3 linked regions of the Drosophila melanogaster genome follow. The protein of the gene in region 1 interacts with the protein of each later gene in a pairwise test. Each region holds a gene or a part of one and is shown in the gene's direction. Other genes may lie near its edges. The genes, in order: CG3792, CG10252 and ari-2.

What was found.
Region 2: the proteins of CG3792 (region 1) and CG10252 interact in a two-hybrid assay, tested with the Drosophila melanogaster proteins (one large-scale study listed by BioGRID).
Region 3: the proteins of CG3792 (region 1) and ari-2 interact in a two-hybrid assay, tested with the Drosophila melanogaster proteins (one large-scale study listed by BioGRID).

The regions. Positions count from the first base shown.
Region 1 is NT_033779.5:4,975,745-4,979,310, forward strand, and holds CG3792 (uncharacterized protein), read left to right. Parts: upstream 1-1,567; 5' UTR 1,568-1,853; coding exon 1,854-1,941; intron 1,942-2,003; coding exon 2,004-2,674; 3' UTR 2,675-2,821; downstream 2,822-3,566. Other genes in the region: Gmd (GDP-mannose 4,6-dehydratase), read right to left, coding at 1-415, 476-911, 1,015-1,185; CG8891 (uncharacterized protein), read right to left, coding at 2,822-2,963, 3,032-3,341, 3,401-3,524.
Region 2 is NT_033777.3:23,694,684-23,698,111, reverse strand, and holds CG10252 (uncharacterized protein), read left to right. Parts: upstream 1-1,866; 5' UTR 1,867-1,949; coding exon 1,950-1,968; intron 1,969-2,029; coding exon 2,030-2,248; intron 2,249-2,308; coding exon 2,309-2,495; intron 2,496-2,566; coding exon 2,567-2,831; 3' UTR 2,832-2,891; downstream 2,892-3,428. Other genes in the region: prt (portabella), read left to right, coding at 1-66, 288-889, 956-1,172, 1,236-1,360, 1,427-1,519.
Region 3 is NT_033778.4:22,211,315-22,218,021, forward strand, and holds ari-2 (ariadne 2), read left to right. Parts: upstream 1-1,520; 5' UTR 1,521-2,126; coding exon 2,127-2,205; intron 2,206-3,567; coding exon 3,568-4,871; intron 4,872-4,931; coding exon 4,932-5,078; 3' UTR 5,079-5,950; downstream 5,951-6,707. Other genes in the region: CG11291 (uncharacterized protein), read left to right, coding at 127-869, 924-1,107; CG30278 (uncharacterized protein), read right to left, coding at 6,204-6,674.

The DNA.
Region 1 (3,566 bases):
CGGACGCGCACAATACCCGTGCCGTTCTCCACTCCCACCTCGTCCACACCCTTGCCCTTCCACGTTATCTCTCGATCAATATGCTTGAACGCGGCTTCCACGAATTCGCGCACACTGTGCGTTTCGCCTGTAGCTATGACGTAGTCGGAAGGAGACTCCCGCTGCAGCATCATCCACATGGCCTCCACGTAGTCGCTGGCATGTCCCCAGTCGCGCTTTGAGTCGAGATTGCCCAGTTCAAAATACTCCATTTGCTTGTGATAAATCTTGGCCACGCTACGGGTGATTTTTCTAGTCACAAAGTTCTCGCCACGTCGTGGACTTTCATGGTTGAAGAGGATTCCATTACAGGCGTACATGTTGTAGGCTTCCCGGTAGTTGATGACGATCCAAAAGCCGTACATCTTAGCGCAGGCTAAAGTTAGGTGGGATTAAGTATTACTTTTAGCATACATTATCGAAGCTGCTGCCTTACCATATGGCGACCTGGGATAGAAGGGCGTCTGTTCGTTCTGTGGCGTCTCCACCACTTTACCATATAGCTCCGAAGTGGAGGCTTGGTAAAACCTCACGTTCTTTTCCATGCCACAAGTGCGGATGGCGTCCAGAATGCGCAACGTGCCCACGGCGTCCACCTCGGCCGTGTACTCACTGAGATCGAAGGAGACCTTGACATGGGATTGTGCTGCCAAATTGTAAATCTCCGTGGGCTTCACCATATTGATGATCTTCACCAGGCTGCTGCTGTCCGTCATGTCGCCATAGTGGAGCTTCATACGCCCACCTTTGTGCGCCTTTGGATCGGCATATAGATGCTCAATGCGGGTGGTGTTGAAGGTGCTGGCCCGCCGAATAATGCCGTGCACCTCGTAGTCCTTCTTGAGCAGAAACTCTGCCAAATAGGAGCCATCCTGGGCGATAGGGAACAAGTAAGAATCGAGCACTTTGAACACGTAAGCACGGAATGAAGGAGATGCCCCTGAAACAGCCGTGACTAATTCATCAATTACACACCTGGCCCGTTATGCCTGTTATCAGCGCCACTTTATCACGGGAGTCGCCTTCGGCGCCGGCTTCCGTTCCGTTTTGGTCCTTGCTGCCGTTGCTGCTGCTTTCAGGACGTTGCTTCTTGGTTTCCGGGGCCCCATCGGAAGTCGACATAGCAATTAGCCGGGTATTTAGCATTTACTGACGCTAGTTTTAATTTTCACGCCGACGCAGCCCGGATAATAAACAAACTTTTGTCTACAGCACTCAGGTAGAGGTGAATAAATAATCGATTGGTTATCGATACATCGCAATCGAAGCACTTGTACGGGACAGTGGGGCAATCTATTTAAGACAGCCTAAATTATTTTCAATAAGCAAAAAGTAAATATTTTATCACAAAAAACAAATTATGTATGGAATAACATTTTAAATAAGAATTCAGCGCAAATTTAAAATTAAAACCAAATCTGGTTGAATAACACTTTATTTACTTTACTGCCAATGTTGCACTTTTTTTCGATTTTGTTCCACTTTGTGGCAGTGTTGAGTAGCAGGAAAACCCACGTAGCGATTTTTAGCGCATACCTTTCAGCGAAAGCCGGACGAAAATAACATAACGTTGGCACAACCACCTATCTTATCATTCCTCCTCCACTCCCAAGCCGATTCGCCACCGGGCATCAATATCTTCTTCGGCGGAACCCGCATTACGTGTGCGTAAACGGCGGCTTTCAATTTCATTCTCGGAGCGACCGGCCGGCCAGCTTGATAACACCGGTGCATAGTGAAACCAGCGCCGCTTACTAATTAAGTACGACCACGACCTCCGAGATAAACAGAAGTCAATTGTTCGCAGCACAAAAATGACGGATCTTATCAGGCAGGGTGCTCTGTTCCTTATGAGCGAGAAGTGCTATGATAACTACTTCCTCTATCACAACTTTTTAGATGGTGAGTGGCTGCTAATTCAAAAAGGTATGTGCCTATTAAGTATCAATTAACATTTCTCGTAGTTCCGTGCTTCAAGGCTTTGCTGAGCAAGGGCTTGGGATTGGCAATTATCGCAGGTTCCGTGCTGGTCAAAGTACCACAAGTGCTGAAGATCCTTAACAGCAAGTCTGGCGAGGGCATCAACATTGTGGGCGTAGTGTTGGACTTGCTGGCCATCTCCTTCCACCTGTCGTACAACTTTATGCATGGCTATCCGTTTAGTGCCTGGGGCGACAGTACCTTCCTGGCCATCCAGACCGTCACAATCGCCGTCTTGGTCTTGTTCTTCAACGGGCGCAAGGCGCAGTCGGGACTCTTTCTAGTGGGATATGTCGTGCTGATGTATGTTCTCAATTCGGGGCTAACGCCCATGTCGGTGCTGTTCACCATCCAGAGCTGCAACATTCCCATCCTGCTGGTGGGCAAGCTGTCTCAGGCGTATACCAACTACCAGGCTGGATCCACTGGTCAGTTGTCAGCCGCCACTGTGATCATGATGTTTGCAGGATCGGTGGCCCGCATCTTCACCTCCATCCAGGAGACTGGTGACTTTATGATCATCCTCACTTTCATTGCCTCTACCTTTGCCAATTCGGTTATTCTGGGCCAGCTGATCTACTACTGGAACAAACCCGCTGGCGTCAAGGTGAAGGATTCAAAGGCCAAGAAGCCGAAGACCAAGAAGGATGACTAAGCAGTGCGGATAGAAGTAACAAAAGTAGAAACAGATATACATAGAGAGATTTGAACTCGAAACATAGGTTGCAACAACTTCTCGACAATGTAGAACAAATATGCGATGTTTAAATAATTGAATTGAATAATTAAATTAAATTGAGTCCTAGTTTATTAACTTGTCCTGTTTCTCGAAGTGCTGCCGCAGTAGAGCTAAAGCGCGGTAGCGATGGGAAATGGTGTTCTTCTCGGACTTGGGCAGTTCGGCGTAGGTCTTATCGTAGCCACTGGGCTGGAAAACCGGATCCCTGCGGCAATGATAGAGAATTTAATAAGCAAGAGCCATTTTATCAGACTTCTTACGCAAGTGACTCACCATCCAAAGTCCCGGGGGCCGCGAGGTTCGACGATAACGCCCTCGGTGATGCCCTTAAAGATTAGAGGCTCGGCATCCACACCGTCGCAGTAGCCAAAGGTGCAAATAGCCTGAGCGCTTTTGTTCTCCCAACCATGGAGCAGACGGTGTAACCCCTCCGGCTGCAGCTTCTCCAGGAACCATTTGATGTACGGACCCGGCAAGCCCTCCAGCGCATTGAAGCACAGACTAGTGTCCTCCACCAGCACGGGTCCATTCACCTGACGCGCTGCCTCCTTGCACTTCTTGATGGCAATCTCGTCGATGTCGCCTGACATTAAACATACGTAGTTTTAGTACTACATCATTCAGATGATGGCTGTTATTCACCTTGCAATTCCGGAAGATCAATCTTCTTTGACACAATGGTGCGCGGGAAACTGGGTCCCAGGATGGCAACCAACTCTTCCAGCTTCTTGGCGTTGCCGGTGACAAAGGTAATTGGTTTCGACATGACGGTACAGATTAAATTGTCGCCCTCAATTTAAACAATTGG
Region 2 (3,428 bases), on another chromosome or scaffold:
CCAGCAAGTTTGGTTACCGCCTTCCCATTGTGGTCGGCACCTTCTTCCTGCTCCTCTCCTCGCTGGGTAAGTGGTCTATTTTGGGGGCATTGATTGGTTTTTCAATTGGGAGACACCTCATCAGGCGGATAAATTAATATTGGAGAAGATAACTCTTCTACATTCAGTTTTTTTTTTTTTTTTTAACAAATTTTGATAATTCTATGGAACTTTATATTGTATTATATTTCTATATTTTATTAATGCGTAAAACGATATATCCAACTTTCTCCAAACTTACCTTTCAGTTTTCACCGTTGGTGAATCCTACTGGGCTCTCCTGGTGGCCCGGGCTGTGCAGGGCGTGGGATCCGCTTGCATCAACATATGCGGCATGAGCCTGGTGGCCCAGCATTATCCGGAGGAGGCACGTCGTTCCAAGGTGATGGGCATCATCCTGGGCAGCATCGCATTGGGTGTGCTGCTGGGCTATCCATTCGGTGGAATTCTGTATGACCTAATGGGCAAATCGGCGCCTTTTATCATTCTCTCCACTCTGATGTTCCTAAGTTTGGGCCTCCAGCTCCTGACCATGGATCTGACGGTGCAACCGGAGGTTGTGGTGGAGGATAGACCCAAGTGGCGATCGCTGCTCGAATGCAAAATGATCCTGGCCATTGTGCTGGCCATTTGGTTTTCAACCTCAACAATGGCCATGCTGGAGCCCTGTCTGCCCATCTGGCTAATCCAGTATCTAAAGCCTAACAAGTGGCAGCTGGGCACCGTTTTCATTCCAGACTCTGTGGGCTACTTTGTGGGCACGAACTTCTTCGGCAGCATTGCCTACAAATATGGTCAGGTTAAGGTGTCCTGTATCAGTTTGTTGCTGGTGGGAGTAGCCTCTATTCTGGTGAGAGCCCTGCTTTTATAAAACCTGAATTGGAAATATATTGCAAATATATTATTTACTTTGCAGATACCCAGTGCTACAACGGTGGCCCAACTATTGCTGCCCCATTTTGCCTTGGGACTGGGTATTGGAGTAATCGATGCCGCATTGGTTCCACTCTTGGCCACCTTTGTGGATGCAACACTGGCTCAGGAGGATCAGGGTGAGGGCAGCAGTTCCATGTCCAGCTACGGAACAGTCTATGCTATCCAGCAGACCTCTGTCAGTCTGGCTTATTGCTTAGGTAAGTGGATATTGTTTTTTTTTTTTTTCTAAAAAAAAAAGTGTATTTTTATCATCTTTATAGCTCCCCTGATTGGCGGGGAGTTGGCCCAGACCTTTGGATTTGCTTGGCTGATGCGCATTGTCGGCATTTTCAATATGATTTATGGCCCAATATTGGTCTACTTGCATCAGAAATACGATCCAAAGGTATCAACATTTTTTATATTTTTCGATTAAGCCGTCACTATTTATATGTGTTTTTTTTTTTAACAGGCCCTTAGGGAACAGCATAATGATATGCTGCTCCAAAGCAGCGGGCGGGGATCTAGGTATAAACAACTTTACAACTCCATGGATGTGGAATAAGCTGTACTGCCCAGTTGTCCAGCAAAATAGCAAACAACCTTGAGTGTGCAAATAAGGCGTTCCTTTGGCTCAATAAAGCAATATATCTGGAGCTGATTTTCGTAAACAATTTATTTTTCCGATAAAATTCGAATCTCCTATTATTAAAATCACTTTGCCATGTCTTGAAGTAACTTAGGTTATTATGATCAAATTTTCGGAATAAAAAGAATTACGTAATTAATATTTGAATGGGTTATGTGTGAAGGAATTACGGTGGTAAAACTTTTCTATAACAAGTGTGCTATGGCTCTGACTTCGAATGGAGCTGCGATGTGAAGTTCTATGAAAGCCTCATTCTGCTACTGGAATCTGTTCGGCCAACACCTAATATTGGGTTCTAAATTTTCAAAATAGATTTTCTTTCTAATATTGCACAAAACTAACAAAAATGGCGGTGCGACCTTTTGGTGAGTGAGAATTCATAAAATTGTAATGTGGTAAATAATATATTATACATGCTTTTTGTAGGCCCTGGACCCGGCGTTTACATGCTGCCCCCCACTGTGGGCTATGATAAGCATGACAACCGCAAACAGCGGTTGCCGCAGTACTCTTTCGGCATGCGCACCCGTGCTCCTGGTGAGGATCTGGGTCCTGGTCCAGGGGCCTACAAGGTGGACAAGTTGACTCGCTATGGCACGAGCAAGGGTTTGGAGTTCTCGATGGCGCCCAGAACCAATGTCATCGGTAAGATAACTTATTAGTACTGAAGACAAGAACGTTTTTGGTTAAATTGCTTAATCGTAGATAAGCGAAGCAGTCCCGGTCCGGGAGCACACGATGTTCATAATAGGCCATTCTTTAAGGGGGTTAATGCTCCTTCGTATTCGATGGGCCTACGAACGGACTTTAACTTCAAGAAGGATGGTCCCGGTCCCAATGCCTACAAGTACGAGGTCAATGCCGTTCGTCCTGGAGTCCCGAGCTATAGCATGTGCGTATTTCAATCCTACCATAGTTATTCCTTTACTAAGTTGCCTATTTTTATTTGTACCTGTATCTCAGGGGACTACAAACAAAGATTTTGAACAAGACGAATTCTCCGGGTCCGGCTGCATATGGCGGTGGTGATATCAATGTCAAACTGACACGTGCTCCGATATACTCGATGCAGCCGCGCACCACTATTCCGGGCGAGAATGTCGGACCTGGACCCAACTACTACGACCTCATGTACTATCGTCCTGGCAAGAGTGGACCGGGCTACTCCTTTGGTGTGCGCCACCACCAGTTCGCTCCGCCTATGATAGTTAGATGTGACAATATGTAGACCAAGTGCAATATTGGAAGAAATATATGCTAAAATTTTTGTGAATAAACAATTCTTTTTAAACCAAGTTTCATTGTTTATGGAAAATGCTTAACGGGGTATTAAAATGAGATTGAATTTGTTTTAACTTGGTAGAACGCAATGAGCGTTACCTTTATTGGAAAAGGAAGGGAGCATTTTGATGCTAGTGCGCCTATGATGTGATACACTTGGCTCTGTACATGTCTAAAATACAAGTAGTCCCTGAACGATGTGTCAAATTAACATTTGATAATAGAAATTTTTGGAAAAAGCACATTTACATTTACATTATTATATCAACGTAACGGTGAGTTTTTAGGCAGACAACAACACGCGTTACTATTTTACGGAATTGAGAGTAACTGAATTTGTATTTAGACTATCCCATTTCAATTTCGCGGGCAAATGCTCATCTTGTTTCAACCGTTGTTTTCTCTTAACAGAGCGCTGTTATCAAGATAATGGTTCGAGTGCTCGCTTAAAGGCACTGGAACTCGGAACCATTGATTTTATCTAACTCCGGTATTTTTCAGTCACAAAATTCTTTTTATCAAAGTTTCTCGTTTTGTTTGTAGA
Region 3 (6,707 bases), on another chromosome or scaffold:
TTCGTATTCCTTGCTATTTTATGATACTCTTATATGGCAATATGAAATTTTTAATCTTTGAAAATAATGTCATAAAGTACTCAAAATTTTAATATTTCACATTCTAAATTTAATCAAAATTGTATTATGTTAAGGCGCAGTCTAAGCCATCTGGACAAGCTGCCGAAGGCAAAGGTGGCCGAATGGCTGGCCGGGATCGACACCATTATTTGCAGCACGGATGGGGTGCTGTGGCAGGAGAATACCCCCATTGAGGGCTCTGTAGAGGCATTCAATGCCATAATTTCAAAGGGAAAGCGATGTCTCATAGCCACCAACGAGTGCTGCCTAACAAACAAGGATCTGTTCCAGAAGGCCAAGTGCCTGGGCTTCAATGTCAAGGAGCAGGACATTTTCAGCTCGTCGGGTGCCATTGCGAGTTACCTTAGCGACCGGAAGTTTAAGAAGAAAATCCTCGTTTTGGGTGGTGACGGTATCCGCAAAGATCTGAAAGAGGCCGGATTCTGTTCCGTGGTAAACGATCTGCAGCCAAATGACCAGAAAAAAATCGACTTCGTCAGGAGCTTAGTTCTCGATCCGGATGTGGGAGCTGTTTTGGTGGCCAGAGACGACAACATGATAGCGAACGAGTTGCTTGTGGCCTGCAACTATCTTCAAAATCCCAAAGTCTTGTTCCTTACCACTTGCATTGATGGATTCCAGCCATTTGGGAAAAAGAGGATCCCAGATGCCGGATCTCTGGCCTCTGCCATCGAGATAATTGTACAACGCAAGCCTATCGTTTTGGGCAAACCGAATCAGCGGATTTTGGGCAAGTTGATGAAGTCTGGCGAAATAAAGCCCGAAAAGACGCTTGTCATTGGAAACTCGTAAGTTCAATGATTACTTTTATTGAGGATCATACTTTATCCTCTTTCCTTTAGGCTTAAATCAGACATTTTATTTGCAAGTATATGTGGTTTCCAATCATTATTGGTGGGCTGCGATAACGGAGCGATCGAAAAAGCCGAGAAAATTAAAAAAGAGGGAGATGAGAAGAAAATGAAACTTGTTCCAGATGCTTTTCTCTCCGGTCTTGCTTCTTTTGGGGAGTATTTATGCATCTAGGTGATGTCGGGCAAGAAAAGCGATTTCCATATCCAAAAAACATACCCAGCTGACCAAAAAGTAATTTAGATCATATTCAAAATTCAAACTAAGCCGCTCAAAAGCTGAACAGCTGTTTTGTTTCTGAGCACTCCTGTGTGCTAAATGATTTCGGTATTTTGGCTTTTAGCACAAGTCGCGAGTCAGTGCTACCAGTATATTTGTAAATTTTTAGTTTTAAAATTTGTAATCTAAAATAGTAAAGCAAATTGCCAGTTTTCTGTTGAAACTAATAGTTTTGCATCAATAATCGCGAAGAAAAAGTTGAATTAATGTGATAATAAAAAAATACATGTTGTTGGTATATTTTTGGTATTTGATTTGATTGCTTCGTGGTCGCACTGAAAGAAGAAGAGTAATAAAACATCGAACTATCGAAGAACGATATGCCCCGATAGGTTCGGACAAGACAAAGAACAAAATGTTCTCTGCAAAAGCTGTGCTCGCTTAAAAACGCAAAAAGTCAGTGCATCTAGTGCATTGTCAGTGGTGCATAAGATTGTTCTATAAATAGCGAAAAATGAAAATAAACTGCAGGCGAAGTAGAAAAAACACCTTGAGTTGAGTGCAACGGCTGTGCGAGTGTGTGTGCGTGAGAGCGAGAGTGCGCTCGTGTGTGTGTGTACACATGCATGTTGATAAACGAAAATAAAACAAGGGACCGCCCCCCGCCGTAGAATAGCCACCCCGCAAAGTTCATCACCCTAACCAGAATCGGTGGCACTGCATCGCGCTAAATCGGCCACTTTCCATTATCCGCATCCACCGCCCCTCCCGCTCTCTGGGTCCATCATCCACCTCCTGCGAAAACAACAACAGCAACCACCAGCGCCCTTACAACAACTGTTACAAAAGAGCAAGAGAGAAGACACCCCGCACTCACACTCACACGGAAGCAGTGAGTGTCCTCGCCAGAAACTCGAATTCCCAACCAAACATCCCGAATCTGAGGCCCAAATCTTAAGCGCCAATCCGCCGGAATGGACTCGGACATCGAAATGGATATGGAATCGGACAACGACGGGGAGTACGACGACGACTACGACTACTACAACACAGGTAAGTGGAAACTAGTACCTGATCTAGAGGGGCACTTCCCCCTGACAACAATCGGCCATCGATTTAACTGTGGCCAAATTAGGGGTACGAGTGTATCTGTGAGGAAGTACACACACACATGTCGGGCTCTTGGTTTGGTTATTCACCTTTTCGGAAGGAGGCCCGCAAGACCTGGGAATTTGCATTCAGCACTTGACATTCGCCTTGGGTTCCATGACCAAACCCCACACCCCCCATTTGATCTCCGCCCTTCTTCGCTGACCATGAAGCTTAAATTATGGAATTGAACTTGAAACAAACACACACGCACGTAGCTGCACGGCGAGAAAATTGCACTGTGTAATAGGATAAATGTTTAGTTTTAAAATGTCAAATCTAGGCCAAACTAAATGATTACATTTGGTACATTTCCCAAAGCAATTCTAATGATGATTTGATACCTCAATTTAGAGAATTATGTGATAGGGCTTGATTTTCAAATGGTTTTATAACATGAACTCAAATCAATATTGATTTAAAAGGGGCAAAATAATATAAGAATATTACTAAAGACTTGATTTCTCTCAGTGCATGGGCAAGTACAATTGGTAGTTGCGAGTTGGGACTGATTGCGAGGCTTGTGTTTTGTGGCTGGCTTCATTATTGCCCGCCACTCTGCTCACGCTCTTCGTAGCTCCACAACCCACACAAGCACACATTAACACACACACCACGAACACCAGCTCAGGTGCGTGCTCAAGTACGCAGTTGCATTCTGTTGTGTGCCGCTGTTCCGTCAACTCGGTCTCCGCTTCTTGACCTGTCCCTTATTGTTCCGACCTGGCCAAGACGCCCCCTAACTCAACCTTCAATCGGATACCTCATATCGGTAACATCGTAACGTCGAGCACTTCTATGGCAGCCTTGTCGCGCGGTTGTTTTCTCGAATTAGCCAATGTGACTAACAAAATGCAAACATGATTACCGGCTGCATACACTGTAATCCCTTTTGATCCATACATGTCAGATTAACATAGAAGATATTCCCAAAGTAATAATGTTTCGTCGGTTTCAACCGATCAATGTAAGTCAGCCATTGCTTAACTTACAAACTCAACTCAACCTTCGTAACTCTGGAACCAGTTTTGTACAATAAGGGATTAAAAGTGCCCTATTGTATATAACTGCAACTGCTAACTCAGGGTTCGTTTGAAATCCACCCTTGCTGTCTTTCAGTCTGATTTTGGTTTAAAATACAATCAGTTAGCTTAAATAACCAAAAGAAAAAGTGGAAACTGTCCTATCAAAGCATAATAGATTTATGATTTATAAATGTTATAAAGTTCAATTATATTATAATACTAATATCCTTTTCTTCTTCAGGCGAGGACTGCGATGTGGAGCGTCTGGATCCGAAGCGGGCCGACCCGGAGTACTTTGAGTACGAGTGCCTAACCGTCGAGGACATCGAGAAGCTGCTGAACGAGCGCGTGGAGAAGCTGAACACCATCCTGCAGATCACACCCTCGCTGGCCAAGGTGCTGCTGCTGGAGCACCAGTGGAACAATGTGGCCGTCGTTGAAAAGTACCGCCAGGACGCCAATGCACTGCTGGTGACGGCGCGAATCAAGCCGCCATCGGTGGCAGTGACGGATACGGCTTCGACGAGTGCAGCGGCGGCCAGTGCCCAACTGCTCCGACTGGGGAGCAGCGGGTACAAGACGACGGCATCGGCGACACCACAGTACCGCAGCCAGATGTGTCCCGTTTGTGCCAGCTCGCAGCTGGGCGACAAGTTCTACAGCCTGGCGTGTGGGCACTCGTTTTGCAAGGACTGCTGGACCATATACTTCGAGACGCAGATCTTCCAGGGAATCTCCACGCAGATCGGCTGCATGGCCCAGATGTGTAATGTTAGGGTGCCCGAGGACTTGGTGCTGACGCTGGTCACGCGACCCGTTATGCGGGACAAGTACCAGCAGTTTGCATTTAAGGACTACGTCAAGTCACACCCGGAACTCCGCTTCTGTCCCGGGCCCAACTGCCAGATTATTGTGCAATCATCGGAGATCTCCGCCAAACGTGCCATTTGCAAGGCTTGCCACACGGGCTTCTGCTTCCGGTGCGGCATGGACTACCACGCACCCACCGACTGCCAGGTGATCAAGAAGTGGCTGACCAAGTGCGCCGACGACAGCGAAACGGCAAACTACATCAGCGCCCACACCAAAGACTGCCCCAAGTGTCACATCTGCATTGAGAAGAACGGCGGCTGCAACCACATGCAGTGCTTCAACTGCAAGCACGACTTCTGCTGGATGTGCTTGGGCGACTGGAAGACGCACGGCTCCGAGTACTACGAGTGCTCTCGCTACAAGGACAACCCCAACATTGCCAACGAGTCGGTGCACGTGCAGGCGCGCGAGGCGCTGAAGAAGTACCTGCACTACTACGAGCGCTGGGAGAACCACTCCAAGTCTCTGAAACTCGAGCAACAGACGATCGACCGGCTGCGCCAGCGGATCAACTCGAAGGTGATGAACGGCAGCGGCACCTGGATCGACTGGCAATACCTCTTCAACGCGGCGGCACTGCTGGCCAAGTGTCGATACACGCTGCAGTACACCTATCCGTACGCCTATTACATGGAGGCCGGTTCGCGAAAGAATCTCTTTGAGTACCAGCAGGTGAGTCGCAGTTCGGCTATTCTTTAACTGGTTGCCCAATAATGTATTAATTCCGTGCAGGCACAACTGGAGGCCGAAATCGAGAATCTGTCGTGGAAGATAGAGCGCGCCGAGACAACGGACCTGGGTGATCTCGAGAATCAAATGGACATCGCTGAAAAGCGCCGCACCACGCTACTGAAAGACTTCTTCCCAGTGGACGCATAGGCAACCGTCGAGCTTCCAGGGCCACCAGAACGGACAGCCTGTCTTGTTTAGCACAAACACTCTTTGATTGACTGCTGACAGGTCGACGTGACGCGACAGTATAGAGACGCTTATTTAAATTAAATTATACACATATTTACATGTATCCATCTAGTAGTAGGCCCAACGACGTGTAGCTAATTTTTAAATTAAACTAATAATCAAGTGCATATAGACTAGAAAACGTAGCATAGAGCATAGTCGACTACTCGAAGTATAATTACTATAGTTGTGACATTCGAAATCACTCAAAATGATCGGTGTAACTGCAATACAACGCCTTGCGCAGAACGTTAACGATATACAGTATCTATAGCTAAAGCCCTAGCGATACCGATACCGGTAGCTATACCATAACTATAAAACTAACTTTAAATCTAGCAACTGACTAACTGACAAACCAGACGCATTTCAGTGGCCAAGTGTTCCAACAGTTTTCCAAAAACTAGCCCAAACGACCCGATGAAATGCAGAAACAGTAACAATTCTAAATGTATAGCGCCGCAAGTCAAGCAATTATAGATCAAAGACCGCCTAAGCAGATCGGCTCATCGGTTAGACCCTAAGTTTTAAACCTTGTATTAGCCCCGCGTGAACAGCATCAAGTATTCGCAATCTGTATCTCGTAACTAATCGCAGCACATCAATCGAACGCAAAAGTCTTAAGTAAGAACGAAGATAGATACTCCCCGTCCCCGATCCCGTTCCTTTTGATTCTCACTCGATTCTCGATTAACTTTGTAAGCTGAATCATAAATTATATTCTAGGATTACGCTATGTATGTATGCTTATGCGACTGAATTTGAATTAAATTTACACTAGATATACAACTATTCAACTGACTTTTCGACTGTGGGCTGCAAGCTTACGATTTGGGTCTTGTGCTTAAAGCTTTGGAGAAGCTCATACGAAGCTTGGATTGAGTGTTTTAAGGATAAGCTTTCACTCAAGTTTCAAGTTTGGGTTTTGAGCCGAGTTTATTTTTTTTAGTGATTGAGTACGAGCTATATTCCAACTTATCTTCCTTGATTTCGTTGTTATTCAGATTGGATGTGCTTAGTTAGTCTTCGATGATGTTTTTGCTATTATTTTTTACCCTTTTTATTGCCGAACAGTGAACTCTTTCTGCTGCTCTTCCGGCTCTTTCGGCTCTTCCGGCTCTTCCTGCTCATCCGACTCATCCTAACATCAGGCGCCAAAGGTGGTTTCTGCTTCGCAAGTTGGCTGGCTAAGGTGAACAACCGGCACTCGGAATGCTCCTTCAGCAGACTGTTGGCGAACTTCTTGACTCCCGATATCTTGGTCACCCTCACGTTGTTCATATTTTCCACTTTCTTGGCGGGATAGACCTCCACTTCGCAGCAGTTCTTGATCAGCAGCAGGTCGCTGTTGTTTGTGATGGGATACCGGTAGTAAAGTTCATTTCCGCAGTCCAGGCAATTCTTTTTTGTGCGTCTCAGCTGGAATTTCATCGGGAAGCACCGACCTACTATGGTGTTATTGTCCAGGATAACAGAATGTTTGTATGTGGGCTTGGGAAGGGGTCGCTTGGTCCACTGTGAAAGAAAAATTTAAGTAAGGAACTTGTA